Arabidopsis thaliana: one gene and its partners. The protein of the gene in region 2 interacts with the protein of the main gene of each other region in a pairwise test. Each region holds a gene or a part of one and is shown on either strand. Other genes may lie near its edges.

Region 1 (4,878 bases), on a different chromosome or scaffold from region 2:
TCTGATAAAAACAAGACAAGGAAGATAGAGAGATGTACCTTTAAAGCCTTGAGCTTGATGTTGCCGTAGATGAGACCCAACCCGAAAGCCGAAGCACGAGCAACCTAAATCGATACCAAAAAGAAAAGACTCGATGAACTCTTCAAAATCCAAAATTCGACAAGTCAAGGCTACAGATCGAGAAATTGATCCGGGGTTTACCAGAGCAAGAGTGCTGGTACCGGAGTAAAGTCCTGGAGGTGGCGCCATTGATTAGCAGTTGAGATTAAACCCTAAAACCCCCAAATCGATCGAATCTTCCGAAATCTCAGATTCGCGATAATGAAAGACCAGAGCGACTCCTTTGTCTCCGTCTTCTCAGAAAAGCAAATTATTGGGCTTTATATGGGCCTTTATTCAATAGTACCAAACGTCAGGCCCATATCCTTCTTACTATTACGCCCAAATTTGCATGCACATTAAGTAAACGATTAAGGATTTACTATCAAATTCGATGGATGTAATGTAACCTTTTGTTAAAAATGTCTTAAGTTTAGTGGACTCGAATCTATTAGTAATATCTGTGTTTTATTACTATGGATCATACTGTATATAAATAAATTTATGATAAAGAAAAGGACATGAAACAACCAAGCATTGAATTTTCTTTCTTTTACTCGACATGTCAACGTGTTGTTGTTATAATTACAGCCTCTTCGTTCAGACATCTCTCATATAGAAAAATTTGAAAATTAGACAAAAATACTCCACAACCGGTGGATAAGTAATATGAATATCTATTTCCTTCAATTGCTTGCACTCAGCAACTTTAAAGAATTATGGAGTGGTTCCAATCCTATATTTTGAAACATCTTATCAATATAAGATTAAGGAAAGCTCAACTTCTATAACTCAATAGTTAAAGCGCCTAATTATTCCCAAAATTAGTAATTTAAATTCGAACAAAGCAATGATACTAAAAAGGATCTTTGTGCCGATAGGCTTTTCAAGAAAGCTCATTCCCAAAACAAAAACGTATTAGGATTTGAAGGAGGATCCCTTATTATGGTTTATGTATTTGGCCAAATGACAACGACGTTATCACTTAAAATATTTTTCTAACAAACTGTATACCAACAACATAAAAGCATAATATATAAATTGTAAATTGGATTTGCAGGTTTGCTACATGCAATTCTGCAAAAACGAATACTAAAATTAAGCTCATTTTCATCCCATATATATATATATATATATATATATAATAGTTTATAAAGAAAATAAAGATAAGTAAAAAGTATTGGAAAGCTATCGACATTTAAAAAACAATCTGAGAATTAAAAATGTTTGGTTGAAGACCCTTAGATCAGAACATCGTCGCGGAATCGGACGGTGAAGAATCAACCAAGTTGAGAATGCTATTCCAGTAATTCTTGTTATCCTCATAGTAGTTATACTCACTCTCATTCCCCACGCCCGCCGTCGCTTCGTTTTTCCCGGTGGGTAAACCCCGGCCGACCGAATCACCGATCAATAGACTCGTGAATCCTTCTCCTATTCCTCCACTACCACAGTTGATCTGCCTAATCCAGTCGTGTTCATGTTCTTTGACCAGACTCACATCGGAGGAGGTTGACGAAGATACGGCCAATTCAATCATCGCCGAGGACTCATTGTTGTTATTGTTTCTATTTCTGCTGCTATCCGTAGGGATTCCTAAAGGCATCAGAAGATTCTCAGAGAATGTCACCGTCGATGTCGGAGATTCAAGCTGTTGGTCTCCGTTTCCTGTCACAATTTTCCATTGATACGTTACCAAAACCAATCAAAGTTGAGAGTTTTTTTTAAGACGATGTGTCCCTTACCTTGGTTTGGTTTAGTCCAGTTTGTTGATGTTTTTTGAGTGAAGCAATGTTGTTGAGGAGCTGCTGATTTGTTAAGGTTGTTATTGTTTTGGTAATGCTGTAAATGGAGAAGCTTTGATTCTCTAGCTAGCCTTGCTTCAGCTTCGAGTCTTGCACTCTCCCATTGAGCCATATGACTAAGCGTGGCTGCGTTCTTTGATTGTCCTGTGGAAGACGAAAGAGTCTCGTTTTTGTGCTTGTGAGTCACTGGATCTATCCCCATTTTGATCAGACGTTTCTTCAAGTGTGTGTTCCAGTAGTTCTTGATCTCGTTGTCTGTCCTCTTTGGTAAATGAGTTGCAATCGCTGACCACCTATGACATTTAAAGGACGACGATCAATTTGCTTTCAAAGCAATCACTTGGTTATTTGGTTTGAAAGCAGAGATTGTGATTGAGTCACCTGTTTCCGAGGAGAGCGTGGAGTTGAATGATGGTTTGTTCTTCTTGTACAGTGAATTTGCCTCTCTTGATGTCAGGTCTTAGGTAGTTAGTCCATCTGAGTCTGCAACTCTTTCCACACCTTTGGAGACCTATAAGGAGTTTGAAGCAAAGCTTTGAATAGAGCTAGAAGAAAATGTGTGGTTTTGTTGAAGAGAAAAGAGCGAGCAAGTTACCGGCTTTCTCAGGCAAAGAACGCCAGCTTCCATGGCCATGTTCTTCAATATAAGCCAAAAGTTTCTGATCCTCTTCTGGAGTCCAAGGCCCTTTCTTCAACCCGGCCTTATCACAACATGGCGATCTGCCCATTGTTTTCCCACACAAGTTATTAGTCTAATCTACTGAAGAAAAAGCTAGCTTCAATCTGATCCACGGTTTAATAACCTAGTGTATGAGATAGTTGTCATTACATGATCATGATCAGTATGATCACAAAAGCTGCTCTCTTGGCGTCACTCTGATATATAGATGGAGAAACACAACAGAAGATGTCTCTGTTTAGGTTCTGTAAGCGCCCCTTTTCCCGGTCTCTGACATGGATTGGCATTCAATTGGATGGGGTCGAGAGATATTATTACCTTTGTGGCTCCAACACCTTGATTTCCTTTTAAAGACTCAACAGAGCACCCAATTACTGTAGCCATCTTTACCTTGAAATTGTACCTCTCAACACAAAAGTAAAACAGTGAATTTCAGAACCTGGAGTAAATTTTAAGGTCAACATCTATCAATAGCTCTCACTTTGATAACCCTGCAACTTAGGATAATGTCATTGAGAAGAATGTTTTTCTCATTAGCCTTAAACAAACTTTGTGGTCCTTTAACAGTTTTGACATTTAAACCATTCTTGTTACTTTCCCGCATTTTTCTCGCGTCAAGGTTCGCTGTCGACAGTCCCCAAATGCACTAAACCCATTTAAGCTAGTTACAAGTTTTAAACACTTCTCACTAAAACTCAATTATCTTACACTAGGGTCTAAAAGATGCTCAAGGTTTCTTATTACAGGTATCCTATTGAGTGATGGTTTCTTGAAAGCTACAAAGTTCTTATTGTTTTGTCTTACTTACGGTCTTGCCTACAACTAGTTACCCTAATAAGTTACACTACTTTATGGAAACGTGTTTATTGATTTCTTCGTTTCACATTTTAGTTAGCTTTTTGTAGAAACTCCACAATAGTAAATGCTGTTAGATGGCGGTGAAGAAGTGGAAGCTGGCACTATAATGGGAAAAGCAAATCAGACACAGAGGATTAATGATATTTGGAGTAACTTAGAGCAAAAAGTCTTAATGATTCATAAACCCTGATTATAGAAGGAAAAAAAAGGGAAAATGCAAAGTAGTTGCAAGTAATTAATTGGTTGTCAATGATGTCATTAGCTTAGACTTGTTGTTTATTCAATTAGTCATTGCTCTGCAAATGGTATAATTCTCCCTGTGGAAGCAACAATAGTTTTATGGTAACACATTTTTACACTAATAGTCACTGTCTCTAAAGTATCAGAAAACTATGACCGCGGTAAACACTGAGTTTCAACCATTGTAAAAATTTGGAACCCTTATAAATGAAGAGAGGAAACACTAATGTGGTGGGAGCAAGAAGAAAGGAGGTGAAAAACCTTTCCTTGTCTGGTTCCTTTACCATTTAATGAAAGTCCCACTGGCTGCTCCACTGTTCTTGGTGTCAATTCATCACAAAATCTATTTTTTCACAAAGATAAACTAACATAGACAATGAATGATGAAAAGTATACAGAAACTTAACCATCAAAATAGCGACTTGATGAGGTAAAAACCACTATTTGGTTACCCTTTAACTAGTAGCATACCACAAAAGGTAAAATTTGACCATAATCAGAATTGTATAATTTGTTACTTACTGACCATTATGCAAAATTTTAGTGGCATACATGGTTTGGATAGTTTACAGGTGATCAAATGTTGTCGACAAAGGTAACTTTGGCTGCCAAGAAAGGTAGACGAGTAATGGCGGTGACGGTGACATTAAAGAGATTTTACCAGACCAAACAAAGAAAAGAGTATCCTAGTGTGTGCCATGGTAGCAAAGAAAGGATTTATTGAGGTGGGCTCCAAGCTTCTAGGAAGAGAAGAAAGTATCTTCATCAACACAAAGATAAACCATAAGACAAAATCATAAGGCCCAACGAATTGTACCAATAAAAACAAAATTGAATTTTGGAAAAACTAAATCATACTGGCTGCAAAAGATGTAAAGGACAATGGGGACACCTCTTTAATTGTCTTGGCTGATTTCATCTTTTATGGTCCAAACAGTGCTCAATAAACTTCATAGATGATGATGTTGCCACTTGTCAAAATCACATCCATCCACGTAACGTAGCTGAGATTGAGTGAGCTAAGAAGAGGGGCCAAAGCTTTTAAAGTCAACTGATAACCATTTGCTTTTCTTCATCATCAGTTTTTGGACCAGAAATTATAGTTTCTTAAATTCTCACATCAATGCTCCAAGTCTTTTGCTTCTGTGTGTGCTCGTTCTACCGAATAGAACAACAAGTCAGTCACACGCATGGAAA
Region 2 (4,800 bases):
GGTGAAGAGGATCTAAACTGCATCAAAAAGGAGAAGTGATAGAGTTAAGTATCAATTTAGAAGCTAAAACGTTTTCTTAGAATAACAGAAAACAAAACAGAGTACATCTTGACGAGATTGAAAAATGCTTATACTAACAAGAAAAGGAAGAGATTTTCGAAGAAGAAATATGGAGCATGTGAAAATTTAAGAAGGTATGGCACATATTGCTTAGACAAAATCATAAGAGGATGAAAGAGACACTGTAAGAAAAAATGAAACAAATAAAACGAGTTTTTGCAAAAAGATAGGGAGAGTCATAGCTCTCTGTAAAAAAAATTGTGAAAGAAATTCATATACATATTGAAAAGAATGTGAGAAAAATATGAGTTGTTAAAAGAAAGTGTAGATAAACTTACGAATATATTTCTACAAAATATCTTATTTTTAGAAGAGCTATACTAACTAATGCAGCGAAGATAAACGAAAAACAATAGTAAATTTGCGGGTACCAAAATGAGAATCGTCGAATCTATTTCCTATACAACAATTTATTTAATACGTAAAAAAAGACGTCGTTATCCTAAATATCTAAAGCTAAAGAGAGAGTCATTAACCAAAAAAATGTTCTTTTGCTAAATGTTGTAAAATCTAAGAGTTGTATAAAGGTTATTTCTAGTTATGTATTTAAATTGTTACTATTTGTCATGATAATTTTAAAATTCAAAGAGTTTATAATATTAACAACAAATAGATATATAAAATCATATTTTCAAAATTTTCAATAAAATATTTTAGTCACACAAAAAACTGTTAAATTTTTTACAAATAAATCCACGCATGAGTTCATAGCTAGTAAATAAATAAAGAAACAACAATGTTACCAAAAAAAAACTGGTTAACGTATTTTCTAGAATTAACATGTGATGTGTATTTTATTCATTAAGCATCTCCTTAGTATATAATTATATAAATATAAATTTACAAATAAAATAATACAAGATCTTTACTAATCTTTATGTGGAAAACAAAAAAAAAACATAAGTAAAACAAATTTATGTGGATAAGAAACGCCATACGCATTCACGTATTATCTTGCCATGTTAGATATGATTCTCAATGTTACAAGAAAACATTTATGGTAAAATAATAAAAGTTTAGATCGCAGACAATGGACCTAAATGATCCCATAATTCATAGGATAAGTTTTCATTCTTGTTTCGAGCATGTTTAATATTTCCACTAACTGTTTTGCCCTCTTGATCTCTACATTCTCATCAAAGTTAATTAGTTCATAATACCATAAACTATTAGTATCCTCGTTCTCTTCTGCATGAAGATAATATTTGAAACCGATATTACATTCGCTGCACTATATATGGATTTGTAGGTTAACTCTAACAAAATCCAAATTACTCTAAAATACTACACATACGGTCCTACAAATTACTAATTAAAACCAGTATACTACTAAGATTAAATGATATGCTATAAGAATTTGGCTCGCCAAAATATAAACTAGGAAGAAATAATGTGGGGATGATAAATTACTAAAGCCTCACTAAAACTCAAATATGTCATCATATCAATCAATATATGAGTGTTGAGATTTGCCGTAGATATTATCTTCCCCCACCAAATAATTGTACCTACACTACACCCCAAACAAGCATATAAGAACAAGTTAATTTAGGTTAAGCAAAGCTGACAAAAGATTAGAGGGAACCATCTCTAGTAAGCTTAGCAAGCAATGCATTGATAAGTGAATCCCTCTTCTCTGCTCTCATCTCCTCCCTCGACCGCCGTTGCTCCTCTCTATCCCGCCACATCCGCTCCATTGCCAACCTCTCCTTCTCAAGCTCCTCCATCTTCCTTCTCCATTCTTCTTCTTTCTCTGCTCTTTCCTTCTCCCTAGCCTCCCATCCTTCTCTCCACTCGCTCTCCATTCTCACTTGATGTCTCATAAACTCTTCCAACACTTCTCTTACACCATTATTGCTATTACTACTATTACTACCGCCTTTTCGCTTCTTTGCAATGTTCTTTTTCGGATTTAGAATTTTTGGGTCGTTGCTGACATCTACTAGCTCTTCATTCACATTCTCTTCTTCCTCATCTGAAGAATACTCTCTCTTTCTCGCTGCCCCGCTTGTTCCCCCTCCTCCTCCCTCGGATTCAGCCCATAGCATTCTCTGCATTCTAGTGGTAAATATATTTTGCATATCATCATAAAAAGGGAACTGTTGTCTCGCTGTCTCTGCCTCCATTGTCTCACATCCCTAGAAACATCAAGCAATACATCACCAATGAGATTGTATACATATAATTAAACTACTTAGCAGATTATGGACAACAAGATTCAGAAATATTTACAATGGTGTTTGTCTATATGTCCCGGAAAGATTATGGACTATAAGATTCAATATTTCTTGGTTACAAATTTTTATTTATTTATTTGTTCCATGCAAGACCTCCAAGATTATAAAACATCCACAAAATGAAAGAAGAGGGAGAGAGAGAATAGACCTTAAAACGAGTGACGAGGTTCTTCCACTTGCACTTGCACTGTTCAGGGCTACGAGGAAAGCTTTTGTCTCTCATCTTGTTAGAGATAACTTCCCAAAGAAGCTTGTTCCGTTTTGTCTCCATGAAAGTTTGATCTAGCTCTCCTCTTATCCCTATCAACTCTTTTGTCTCTTCGACGCTCCACTGTGGAAACCTATCCCCAACAGCTACCGGAGAGGCTATTTCCGGCGTTTGCGATTGAGTATGAAGATGATGCTTGTTGAGATATTGAAGCTGGTGAAGGTGATGATGCTGATGTCCATCCATATGAAAGAATCAAGAAGAAGAAACTATAAAAAAAAAATAAAGAAAAAAAATCACCAAACGATCTCTAAAGCAAAGATTTTGAAGAAGCTTTCACTTTTTCAGATCGAAAAACAAAATATTTCTTGTTTTTCTTTATCTTTTGGTTTTTGTGTATTTGTAATGTGAAAACGTTGGAAGAAAGAAGTCTAATTTTCTTTGATCGCAATTCTTTTCTTCTTCTCCACTCTCTCTTTCTCCTGTCGCCATCTGTCTACGCGTTTACTTTTTTCTCTGTCTTGGATTTTTTCTAATACAATTTACTTTTTTTTTGTGTGTCTTCTTTTGACAAAATATTAAAAAGAAAAAAGCTTTCGGCAGATTTGTCATTTCATTTCTAATAGTATATAATTAGTTAAAATATCGATTGAAATGGTATTATAGAGCAAAGGATAATTAGCGTCTTAAACTACCAGTCAATTCGTTAATAAAAGATATGTTGACTGGTGATCAGGAGAGATGTGGATATTTCTATCGTTATCTCATAATGTAATCACTTTCATTTGACAAATAGTATTCTAGATTCTGACAGTCGACATATTTGTCAAATATGTGTATGAAATGAGTTTATTACTGAGTTGGTTTGGTAAAATGGTAGGGATAATAAATTTAATTAAAATGATGATAATTTTTTATATTGCTTTAAATATAAAAAACAGTAAAATATTAAAGAGAAAGTCAAGTCTTTAAATAATATAATACAATTTTTCTTTTGTCAAAATAAATTAGAGTGAAAGTGTAAGAAAAACATAGGTGAGTGGTAAATATTTCCTATTGAGTTATAGAGCTCTTTATGTATTTTCTGTTTAATCTGCTTTTTCATTCATACTATAATGAGGAATCAAATTGATGTGACGATAACATTGCGTTGAGGTTTCATCATCACCGCGAGAAGTTTCGGTTTGTATACTTTTTGTAATAATACTGTGTGGTTATTAATTCTCGGCGACCAGTCATATCCTTAGCTTCATGCCCAAGTTTCTATTTACTACTTTGTCTTTGTTTATTTTTCCCTTTTTCAACAAAATTCGATATTTTTCTAATTTTGAGCACCTTTTTTAAATACAAAACTAGGTGACTTCTCTAGAATCTCTCGTTTCCTAAATTCCTTCACGTGTTATTCCTTGTATGGTTATCAAAATAACAAAAGTGTTGGAATGATTTCTTCATTCACGAAATGACAAATTATAGTGTGACACGTGCGTGGAACTAGCCAGCTAGGAACAACATTCTAGAGATGTGAAACTTGTTAGGCCAATTTTGAATTTTTTTAAAAGCATGAACATGACAAAAAAAAGCATGTGCCAAACTAATTCATTTTCAACTTAAGGTTTATTATGGGTTGGCAGCCCAAACCCATTCTACACAGTTTGGGCCCAATTTGTCTTCGAGTGATGTACAATTTGGCAATTGGACTCACATAAGAACAAATTTTGTGTAACCCCTACAATAGATGAAAACTGCAACTCTCTTCTAAAGTAAAGGACTAAAGTCAACCTAGTCCCTTAAATGAGGTTTGGAAAATTCTTTGTCTGCCTCGTTCACTTTTATTTTGCCTCGTTTTATGTATCTGTTGAAGGAACACCACTTGGTTGATTATGGTACGAAAAACATGTTATTTGGACTTTCACCAAATTTATGTCGATATAAAAAGATCAGTACAAATTTGTTATTGATTTTATTTTTAGAGGCTACATTTCCTATGGTTTGTGACCAGACTATAGCTAGCTACAATTTTTTTATTGTATTTTTATTGCGAAAAACTTAGTTGCATATATTATTCACTAAAACAGAGATTTTTTGTATAGTAAACAGTGAAGGTAAAATTGTTAGCAAACAAAAATTTTGTAGAGTCAAGAAAAGAATTTTTATATATATATATATATATATTTTTTAGAAACAACATATTTTTAATAATAAAAATAGGAAGCTTCAAATACAGCATTGAAAAGA
Region 3 (4,217 bases), on a different chromosome or scaffold from region 2:
AACCGGAGATCTAACCTGTTTGGTTTGGCCAGATTGTGCCCCAATGTCGCCACTTCCACCTGAACATTAACCATAATTCAAAATCATCTACATGCAAATAGCATAATTTTCGTGATTCTTTAACAGAATCAACACATCGAATTATATACTAAAAAAAAACTATATACATATACCAACCAATTTTAGTTTATTTTTAAAAGAAGGTTGTTATATACCTTCTTGGCGAGAAGAGCTGCTAGGATCGGATACGGAGGAGGAGGTGCAAATGGGTGACCCAATCGTAACGTCTTTACTGCTTTCCTTGAGTCGACCCGACCCGTAACCGTTACACATGTTGATAGAGCTCAAATCCATATCATCGCCGTTACTAACTCCGTTATATTCTGTTCTGATCCTCTTGCACTCTCCTTCTTCTCCGCTTCTCTGCTGCTGCTTCGCCTCCCGCTTCTTCCGTGTTTCCTTTATCCTCGTCACATTCGTCGTTCTGCCGTCAAGATTAACGCCGTTATCCTTCTCGAATCCGACGGCGTTAGATTGTCCAAATGTTTTAGATTTCTCCGTTTTCTTGAAAGGACCTCCCAGGGAAAGACATAGCTCGAGCTCGAGCTCGACCTCCACATTCTCATCTTCTACAAACTTTTCTGCCATTGATAAAGATTCAACAAACATATAATGTCAAAAAGATGGTCTCTTGTCTTCCGCAAAATTTTCCTCTTGAAGGGTTTTGAAGCTTCGCCAACTTTGTTGTATGAGAAAGGAATATTATAAGGGGCGGAGATAATTAAAAAGAGAATGGTAAAGGCTTCGGAACATGACACATGTCCGATAAGGATAGTGGACATGGGCGGTTTCAAAATTCACTAAGAGAAAGGTTAAGAAACTTTATTAGCGCTACAATTTCGGATTATCGATAAACGCTTTCCATTTATTTTGTTGGTTTCTATTTCCATTGGTTGTAAAAATCAAGTAAAATTTTGACGAAAAGTACCGAGACGCCACGTGTAACACGTGCATGGAAACAGTTAACACGTGTACACTGAGATCCTGCTGGCTTTGACGAGGACACGTTGGGTGTTTTGAATTCTTGTGTTCGTATCTGACTCCGCGAATCTCGAGCATAAACACGACCCCGGGATTGACATGTGGCGACCATCTTCGAGAGACAGTGCAATAGGTTAGACAGTCCAGGTCAGCAAATGACGCCGTAACGGTTATTCTCATCTGATGTGTGTCGACGTGGTTCATGTTTGGCTGGCTTCATGGGCACGTGCTAGATGACAAATGGCTGTAAAGAATTATGTTGAGTAGATAGATGACTCGTGTCTTTATTCGAATAGTGGAATAGCTTGTTGAAGTTGCTTTATTATAGCTTGGCTATCACAAGTTCCAGCCTTACTCTTGCATGAATTGCACCTGGAAAGTGGAAAGAGGATTGAGACTATTTGAATTGTTGACAAGAAAAACAAAGGAAGATTCTGCGAATACACTGTGGAATATAGCAAATGTTCTTTTCTCGTTGTGATTTTTTCGGTTGATTAAATGTTTAACAAAATGTAAAGCAAAGATTCTAGAAAAAGAAAACCATTCTTGACTTTGCTATTTCTTTGACAAAAATGTGACGATATTCTTATGAACTTTTCATCATATTTTATCATCATAATTTCAAGCCTTACGGTTATCACATGATCCATATTCATGTCAATGTCATGCTTATCCCCGAATATTACATACTACTGGGTTTATGTACATAAGATCCGGTTCACGTTAATGGGCTGATGCTTTTTAGATAAGGCCCAACTAAAGCTGTTTCTTTTGTTAGCCGTGGAAACAAACTGCCCGTTTTGATTTGATCGCCGTAAGGCCCGTAACATTGACAGTGGAGAGGCTGAAAACATGATGGGTATAATAGTCATTTACTTGAGAAGCCTTTATATTTTTCATTGTACGGTTTAACCACAACATATCTAAACCGGTTTCCAAACACATTCTATTACTATGTAACCCCAAATTTGATCTCCGACTTCAAAATCGGAGAAATTTCACGGCATGGCTACAGCCGTTGGAAGCGGGAGCGATGTAGAGGTTGGATTTGCGAAGCTCCAAGGTGAGGATTTCGAGTACTATATGCAGTCTTACTCCATTATTCTCGGCCGGAATTCTAAGAAATCGACCGTCGACGTCGACCTCTCATCTCTCGGCGGTGGGATGAACATTTCTCGCAACCACGCTCGGATCTTCTATGACTTCACTAGACGACGCTTCTCTCTCGAGGTACTTGGCAAAAATGGCTGCTTCGTTGAAGGTGTCCTCCATCTCCCTGGGAACCCCAACGTCAAGCTCGATTCACAGGACCTTTTGCAGATTGGTGACAAGGAGTTCTACTTCCTGCTTCCGGTTTGGAGTATCCTAGGCGGTCCATTGGGACCCAGGCACCACGTCTTAGGGAAGGCTACTGTTGTTCCGTACCATAATTATCATTCGGGTCCAGGTTCCGGGTCGGGTAAGAATGGCGTCCGGAGTAGAGAGTTGTATGAGTACGATGATGAAGACGACGATGAAGAGGAGGATATCAGAGGCAGTGGAAAGAAAACATGGAGAGATGGACATGAAGGAGTATATGCCTCTGGAGGTAAAACCAAATTGCTCATGATAGCTTAACTTCATTGTGTCACTAAATAGATTTCAGGCTTGTTCTAGACTTTGAGTATAAGTTTTACTGTGGTGGTTGATGATTGAACCTTGTTAGACTTAGATTGAATGATAGTGACACCACGACATTGTATCTGCTTCATTTGTGCAGAGAAGAAGAGAGAGGGAAGATCAAAGGCAGATCGTGAAGCTGATGATCAACAATTTTTGCAGCTAATGCATGGTAGTGGTTGGTCTGTGACAGATATTAAAGGAGTATGGAAACGTATGGCATCACAGTCGAGTAAGAAGATACCTATCACAAGAAGACTGGGCTATCCCTGAAGCAAAAGGTAAACCATGGTACGGTTTGCTGATGCTGCTGAGAAAATACCCGGAGCATTTCGTCATCAACACGAGATCAAAGGGAAGAGTTACCCTTGAATTCGTTTCCCTCGTTACCCTACTCTCATAATCATCGAGATGATTGTTAGTGCAGGAGCAGGATGATTGGTAGTATATCTTTTATGTTTCCACGTAATGAGTGTATAAGTGGGTGTTAGGTGTTTTGACCTTGGTGACTCGTCGGATTAAGTTTTTCTCGCTTTTCTTTGTTACGTTGTATATGTAGAATGACAATGACATTGATGAGTAAAACACTCTCGGATTTAACCTTTTCTCTCTCTTCAAGAAATCGCATAAGCTATTTTCAGCCATATACATACTATAGCCTATATGGCTATTCAACATTAATACACTCTCGGGTAAATTTAACCTTTTAGTTGTTTTCTTATGGCGAAAGCGGATTTGGTTTGCATATTATTTAGTTGAAAAGAAAAATCAAACGAGAAAATATATCACAACCCAAAAGTATACTATACAAAATTCAGATAAAGTTGTCTCAAAAGTACTATGCATAGTACAGATAAAGTTGTCGGAAGGAAATATTAGTATGATTTTCCCCGTCTCATTACTGTACATCACTTAGTCAACGCATACACTGTTAAAAGTCAACACATACAATCATTCAAAAACGTTTGGAGTTTAACACATAACACATCACAAGAGTGATCATCACAAATTAGAAGTTTATTTTACAAACTTGAGCCTATTAAGTTTTTACTTTTTGGCCTAATGAAAATTGAAACCACTTTATTCAAACCCAAAAATCAACTTTCTTCTCTTGTTTTATCGGTGGTCAAGATCTAGGCTGTTCGCAATAACATTTATTATTTTTTTTTCCAATAATTTCGTCTTTAGTACCAACTTTCGTTTTATATATTGCTGCCGTACAACTTGCACTTGCTTACATGTTTATTTGTCTACAAATTATTACTTAAAAGTTAAAACAATATACAGAGAAATCTCCCTAAGTTATTGAGTGATAGTTTTAAGTTTTTTTTGTGAGATAAATTAATTACTATTTAGTATTTTACGTAGGTTTTGGTAAGATTCTTCGATTTTTTTTTTACTTACAAAAACAATAGAAAAAGACTGATGCATGACAAAATTCTTAGAAAAAAAAACTGATGCATATGATAACGTGAGTGAAGTTGGTGCTTAGAGTTGCTAATATTAATATATATATA
Region 4 (6,491 bases), 610 kb from region 2:
TACAGTTTAACTCTAACTCTCTTACCATCACCTGTGAATGCACCAATTTCCCCAAGCTCAAGTTACCGCCACAAGCCGAAAGCAAAACCACCATTGTCGTCTCATCTGGACAAAACCGCTTACCAATCATCTCACAAAAACACTCAAACACCAAATTTAACTTACCATTCTCAACAAGAGCAGTCATAATCGAGTTCCAAGAAACAACATTTCTCTCAGTCATTTCGTCGAACACCTTCCTGGCATCAGAAGTTTTCTTACAAGTACCATAAAGATGGATCAAATTGTTCCCAACATATACATCAAAATCAAACCCATGTTTCAAAACCTCAACTTGAATCTGTCTCCCAGCAGTGAGACCTAAAAACGAAGCACAAGCCTTGAGAAGAAAAGGAAAAGTGAGCTTATTAGGTTTGATTCCTCGTCTCTTCATCTCAGAGTAAACCCAAATCGATTCCACAGGAGAATCACTTGAAGAATAGCCTCTACTGAGCATATTCCAAGTAGAAGGAGTCGAATCTGAAGAGTGAAGCAGAAGGGTTCGCGCAAAGGCAAGGTCTTTGGCGAGGGATAGTGATGAAACCCGTACAAGCTCGCTGATGATAAAGCTGTCATTTTGGAGAGAGGAGAGATGGATTTGACCATGGATCTGTAGAAGGTGTTTAATTGAGGAACATAGCTTGAGGAAGATAAGACATTGGTGTTTCCTGGATTTGAAGCATGAATCTGAACTCCAAATCATTATGCCATTGGAGCTCTTAGAAATCGCAAAAAGTTTCAATTTTCAAATCGGTGATATATTTATAGATTTGGAACGGTTTTAACGGAACCGAAGTAAAATCAAAAGCTTATTCGGTTCGGTTTAATGTGAAATTGATATTTATCAACCAAAACATATCATCTTTACAAGGTCAGTAATATACAGAAGATTACACTTTCTCTCTGATTCTGAGATGGGTGTCAGAGGTTTTGGTTAGGAGGATCAATCTCTGATTAGAGTGTTGTTGTTTCCATTTCAAAGCTCTGATCATGAAAATTTCCTCCATGAATGTTCTTCTCGCTTCTAATCTCTGAGAACCAAAACCATGGTCGTGGGAAGATCCATGAATGATGTATCACAATCATGTGAGATGCAGATTCTGCAGAGCATGATTACAACTGTGAGTTCATGATCATGTTTCATGAAAACTAAAGGCTTTATATTAATATACTAACCAAATCAGGGAGGTGTTTATTAATCTGAATCTTCTTCACTCTCTTCTTCAGACTCGGAGCTAAGGAAACGAGCTGAGCTTCTGAGGGAAAATGATTTGTTACTCTTTGGAATCTTCGTTCTCTTTTGTTTTGTTGCAAAACCTTTCGCCACTAGTGTATCAAACAAATCTCCCATCTCCATTTTCTTTCTCAAACCATCATGTTCGTCCATGAACCTTCAGAACAATAAACATAAGACTGGGAAATATCAGATTCTAACACTAATAAAGACAATGTAAATATCAAAGGCCTGTTTCACTCGATAACATTCATTTGCTTGATCCGTTAGAGGAAACAACAGATGAATACTTCTATAGACAAGTGAAAACATCGATGCAGCAATAATTGGATCAAGCAACACCTTTCACGTATTGCTTTGAAGGCGTCTCTAGTTGCATAAGGAAGACCCGTTTTTGGATCCCGGTACCTGTATCAGCAATACACACAACAGCTAAGAACTAGTTCTAAAATTGCAGAGAAAAGATAATCAGGTTTCTAGGTTATAACATCATTTCTTTTCGAGAAGTATATATCAAAGAAACTGATAACTTCTTTTTAGTAGACCTAAGAGAGTCTACTTGTGTTCATCCCAGAGATCTTGTTCTTCCGATGAATAAAGAAGAAGAACAGAAAAACTCTTACTTGGCAGGTAATCCCGTAATCACACATACAGCTTTTTCTGGATCTGGAAAAGAGAAAACAAACCAAAAGAAAGACAGAGATCAGTATAGATCAATATGAACACATTTATGTTCATCTCCAAACACCACTCAAAATTACTTACAGGGAACAGACTTCGTCGACAACTCTGAATTGAATGACGCACCATTACAGAATTCTAAATAGTTACATCCTGCATGTAAAGTTAAAAGTTTAAACAAATATAGTTCTTACTTTTCTGGAAAGATCCAATTAGACTGGATTACTATTTTACTGGAGAGCTTACCATCTTTTGAATGATACCGAATCTGAGGACCCTTGTAGACTGCTTTATGCACAATCGCTTTCTTTTTTACTTCTTCTTCCCTTGCCAAGACACGTTCTAAATTCCTCAAGTTCATGATTTCTGCAAGAACCTGACTTTAGCAATTTTGAGTTTCTGATAGAGCAAATCAGATGCAGCATCATAAAAGCCAAACCTGTTTGAGCAGCTTCCAGCAGCATTTCTTCTTGGGTCATCCGTTTTTCCTCCCCTACTTTTTTCCTTTGTATTGGCTGAACAAACACAAAAAAGAATTCAACATGGCAAGACTTAGAAAAGAGATTAAAGTGTAGCCATGAATGTAAATAGCTAGTGGGGATGAGTTCTGAGAAACCTTTGTTGTTGCTTGTATAGCAGCACGCAATGCATCTCTTTCTGCTTGCCGTACAACCACTGAAGTCCGTGTTGATTTCCTAATGACTTTCTCACCTTCCATATCTTCTTGTGCTTCATTCTCTTCTTTTTCTTCTTGTTCCTTGTTTCCCAATTCTTCACCTGGCTTCTCATCTCCAGGAATATATTCTAGTTGTGAAACTACCTTCGTCTTCTTTTTCTTTTTCTTTGAAGCAGTTTTCCCAGGGTAAATCAGCCGCTTCTTTGGCAGATCCCTACAACAATATGCAAAATTGTAACAAAATTAAAACAGACACACATAATAGCCATCATAAGACAAGCTTTGAAAAAATTCAAACCTCAATTCTTTTTCATTTACAGCGACTGCATCAGGCTCAGGCTCCTAATCCCAAACAAAAGGCAAAAGAAAGAAATTAAAAAGAATGGAAATATAAGCAAAAACCTTGATGAATAAGTACTCAATACATAAGCAAGACATAAATACATCGTCATTGAAGTCACTGTCAAACTCATCAGCAACCTCACGTTCTGCTTCATATTCATCATCATGTTCTTCCTGCAGATAACAAAAGTAAAGAGATACATAAATGTCAGCAAACACACGAAAGTTTCTGCGATAGTATCTTGTCTACAAATCTGATTTTTTTCCATTATATATTTTGACATCTAGTCTACCTTAACAAATCATTAACATCTCTTTAAGAGAGTAAGCTATATATAAAACAAAACAAACCTCTTTAAGAGCTTCTTGATTCCAAAACTGTTCATCTTCTTCTACTTCGTCATCAAGCAACTTGGTCATCCTGAAAAAAAACAGAAAACTGATGAATAAAGCTTCCACAAGAGAGTTTCTGATACATCTCAATAACAGTGAGACAAAACCACAATCTTCAGGTGAAACACATTCATCAGGTAAAAGCTTAAGCTCAAGTAATTCTTACCGTTTACCCCGTGTTGCTCTTGTTGTACGGTCCAAGAACACCATTGGCTCTTCTTCATCGATTTCCATTGATAACTTGCTCAACTCTTACTTCTACAAGTTCACAAATTTAAACGAAAATGTCATAACACACAAATTAACAAATCAGCAAGGAACCCCCAAATTAGGGTTTCTCGCAATTTCAAGACTTTACGATTATATCGAGAGGGAAACAGGAACAAAAACCCAAAATTTGAGTGATGTACACAGTAATCGAAGAAGAGCCCATGAAAGCGAGAATGAAAAGTAATTTGTGTGATGAGCTTAAAATCTCGCTCGAGGAGTTACCTTCGGAAAATTTTAGGTTGGAGAAGTTTCTTCGACGAGCACACGTCTTCGCCGGCGACCGCCGCACCTCTTTGATTCACTCTTTCACACACGGTGCCGCTGGTTCGTACACCATTGTTATTGGACTTGAGATATTAATGGGCCTTCCACTTAGACATTTTCAAAGCCCATATTATATTAGAAGATTCTTTTTGTAAAATAAAACTTACAATGATAGACCGCTGGGGAAAAACGTTTTATTTTTATTTTTATTAATGACCTTGAGTAATTTCTTTTTACACTGGCATATATAAAATTTTAAATTAAATTTACGATGAAAAATCGTAACGTAAATAATACCAAAAAAGAAAGATGTTAAGATATATAAATCGGTTAACAAAATTGTCCAGAAATGGTAATATCATAGATAGATTTCAATTTTCAAGTCATGCATGATGTCATTTTGGATATAACACGAGTTGTCAACTTGTCATGATCGAGAAAGCAAAAGTAAACAAACAAAAAGTGTTTCTACACTCCTCTAAACTCCAAGGAGCAAGCAATATCGAAGTTGCGATCTCATGCAGGACCACTGGAGAAGGTTTCTACACTCTTCTAAAGCTACAGAAAAAAAAAAAGTATATAAGAAATTGTGTTTTTTTCTTCAATTTGAGTGTACGAATTCGAATGCTTAATAAGTATGTACTAACTAAGATGTTAGTATAAGATTCGATAATAGAGACAATTTCAAATAAAACTATCATAAATTGTTCTTGAACAAAGAGAAGTAATCGAGAACAAACGTCACAATCATTTTTTTTGGGTAATACAAAAGAAAAGTTACAATCTAAGAAAAGTTACAATCATTTCTTGGGTTGTTCTAATTGCATTATGTCTTGTAGCAAGAATGTGATGTTGGAATGAGAAGAGCCTCCTTCTTCCACAGCCTTGTGAGCTAATTCTCCAAGCTCTTTCACTCTTTTTCTTCTCTCCTTAGCATCATTACTATCACCCATCAATTCCTCCACTGCCTTCTTTACTCCTTCTTTATCCACCAGTACTCCTATTTTCTCCTCTTCTCCCCATCTCATGGACTCTTCAACCCCAGCTCTCACACCGGCTTTTAGTATCTGCACCGCCAATTTCTCATTGCAGAATTGGTCTCCAAACAGTGGCCACGTGAGTAATGGAACGCCTGAAGTGATTCCTTCAAGAGTAGAGTTCCATCCACAATGTGTCAAGAATCCTCCAACGGCAGGATGTGTAAGGATAAGCATTTGAGGCGACCATCCTGTTATGAGAAGGCCTCTTTCTTTGATTCTTTCCTTATAACCGCTCTCTGAGATCCATTCAAGTAACTCGTTATACTTCTCCCAACCTCTTATGACCCAAATGAAAGGTCTTTGGGATTCCTCGAGGCCTAAGCCGAGCTCTTTGAGCTGAGACAGAGGAAGATTGCATATACTTCCAAGGCAAACATATAGCACCGACCCTTCTTCTTTAGAATCAAGCCATTTAATACACTCGTCTTGATCAATGTCCGCCTTGTTTCCCCTCTCAGCTTGGTCTTCTCCTAACTTGTTGCACAAGGAAACCGGTCCGATGCTCCATATCTTACCCGCTTTAACCTTCTTGTAGTCTCTAACATAAGCTGGCTCGAGCTCTTCAAACGTGTTAACAATCACACCATAAGAAGTGTTATCCCCTTCTGTCATTCCGTCAAGGAAGTCTTTCCAATCTCCAGCAACTAATACCATTGGAAGCTGAGATTTTGTGAACTCAACTCTGTCAGGGAAATTAGGAATGGGGAAGTATTCCTTGTCAGACTCTATAGTTTCCAAGAACTCGTGGTTTTGGTGCATTATGTGCGTACAAAGAAGATTGAAGCAACACATGCCATGAAAGATGATTTTTGGTATACCAAGATTCTTGGCAATTCTGTTTGTATAAGGCAAACACATGTCAGCGATTATGCAGTTTGGCCTAGGTTGAATCTCTTTCAAGAGCTTCTCGACTGGTTCCTCGAGCAGGCTAAATGCTTTGAAGAAGGTTAATGAAGCCCCCAATGAATCGAGCAAGTCCAAATTCTCCTGTCCTTCCGGTGAACCCGATTCTTGAGATGGAAACTTTACTTGCACGAGATTGATGGGCAAGCCGGATTGGATAGCCCGGCTAAGAACGTTCTTGAACCGGCCTGCGTTTTGAGGTGTAGTGACAATGGTTATAGTCACCCCGCGCTGAGCCAGGAGCCTTGCAATATCTACCATTGGGATCATGTGGCCTTGAGCCATGAAAGGGAAGAGAACAAAATGAAGAGGAGGACGAAATTCCGATGCCATGAGGAACTCTCTTCTAAGGTTTATTTTTTTTGCTTTGGTTCCGATAATGTGTGTGTTTCTCTGTGCCTACATATATTAAGATGTGATGTAAGAAAGAACAAAAGGAAATTGGCTTATTATTCGTAATAGTTACAAAACACACTAAGTGGTTCACAGTACATATCGTGGCGGGCACTCATATGTTCTTTTGTATTCATATAAGCCCAAAATTTTAAGAGAAAATATCTTTTAGCTAGAGGTACGTCGAAAAGATAGTGAAAAGTTTATAGCCGTAAAAATTAGTATTGGATAAACGAATAAAGAAAGAAAAATCAAA

Evidence for each region.
Region 1: the proteins of AT2G38250 (region 2) and MYB106 interact in a two-hybrid assay, tested with the Arabidopsis thaliana proteins (one large-scale study listed by BioGRID).
Region 3: the proteins of AT2G38250 (region 2) and AT3G07260 interact in a two-hybrid assay, tested with the Arabidopsis thaliana proteins (one large-scale study listed by BioGRID).
Region 4: the proteins of AT2G38250 (region 2) and SWC2 interact in a two-hybrid assay, tested with the Arabidopsis thaliana proteins (one large-scale study listed by BioGRID).

What each region holds. Positions count from the first base shown.
Region 1 is NC_003074.8:45,274-50,151, forward strand, and holds MYB106 (myb domain protein 106), read right to left. Parts: upstream 3,024-4,878; 5' UTR 2,871-3,023; coding exon 2,734-2,870; exon of another isoform or gene 2,633-2,733; coding exon of another isoform or gene 2,625-2,632; coding exon 2,500-2,624; exon of another isoform or gene 2,416-2,499; coding exon 2,286-2,415; exon of another isoform or gene 2,198-2,285; coding exon 1,845-2,197; exon of another isoform or gene 1,768-1,844; coding exon 1,346-1,767; 3' UTR 1,123-1,345; downstream 1-1,122. Other genes in the region: AT3G01130 (ATP synthase E chain), read right to left, coding at 1-104, 202-249. UniProt on the Arabidopsis thaliana protein: Functions as a repressor of epidermal cell outgrowth and negatively regulate trichome branch formation. Acts both as a positive and a negative regulator of cellular outgrowth. Promotes both trichome expansion and branch formation.
Region 2 is NC_003071.7:16,016,395-16,021,194, reverse strand, and holds AT2G38250 (Homeodomain-like superfamily protein), read right to left. Parts: upstream 2,986-4,800; 5' UTR 2,812-2,985; coding exon 2,506-2,811; intron 2,259-2,505; coding exon 1,695-2,258; 3' UTR 1,039-1,694; downstream 1-1,038.
Region 3 is NC_003074.8:2,307,658-2,311,874, forward strand, and holds AT3G07260 (SMAD/FHA domain-containing protein), read left to right. Parts: upstream 1-1,951; 5' UTR 1,952-2,046; coding exon 2,047-2,629; intron 2,630-2,800; coding exon 2,801-2,973; 3' UTR 2,974-3,326; downstream 3,327-4,217. Other genes in the region: AT3G07255 (nuclear transport factor 2/RNA recognition motif protein), read right to left, coding at 1-59, 216-669. UniProt on the Arabidopsis thaliana protein: May play a role in the control of plant organ development. Does not show transactivation activity in yeast.
Region 4 is NC_003071.7:15,405,832-15,412,322, forward strand, and holds SWC2 (DNA binding protein SWC2), read right to left. Parts: upstream 4,082-6,491; 5' UTR 3,858-4,081; intron 3,624-3,857; 5' UTR 3,600-3,623; coding exon 3,532-3,599; intron 3,394-3,531; coding exon 3,324-3,393; intron 3,147-3,323; coding exon 3,075-3,146; intron 2,973-3,074; coding exon 2,929-2,972; intron 2,845-2,928; coding exon 2,571-2,844; intron 2,470-2,570; coding exon 2,394-2,469; intron 2,321-2,393; coding exon 2,201-2,320; intron 2,108-2,200; coding exon 2,039-2,107; intron 1,940-2,038; coding exon 1,897-1,939; intron 1,682-1,896; coding exon 1,616-1,681; coding exon of another isoform or gene 1,540-1,615; exon of another isoform or gene 1,431-1,539; coding exon 1,235-1,430; 3' UTR 1,216-1,234; intron 1,140-1,215; 3' UTR 791-1,139; downstream 1-790. Other genes in the region: AT2G36730 (Pentatricopeptide repeat (PPR) superfamily protein), read right to left, coding at 1-742; UGT73C1 (UDP-glucosyl transferase 73C1), read right to left, coding at 4,700-6,175. UniProt on the Arabidopsis thaliana protein: Component of the SWR1 complex which mediates the ATP-dependent exchange of histone H2A for the H2A variant H2A.F/Z leading to transcriptional regulation of selected genes (e.g. FLC) by chromatin remodeling.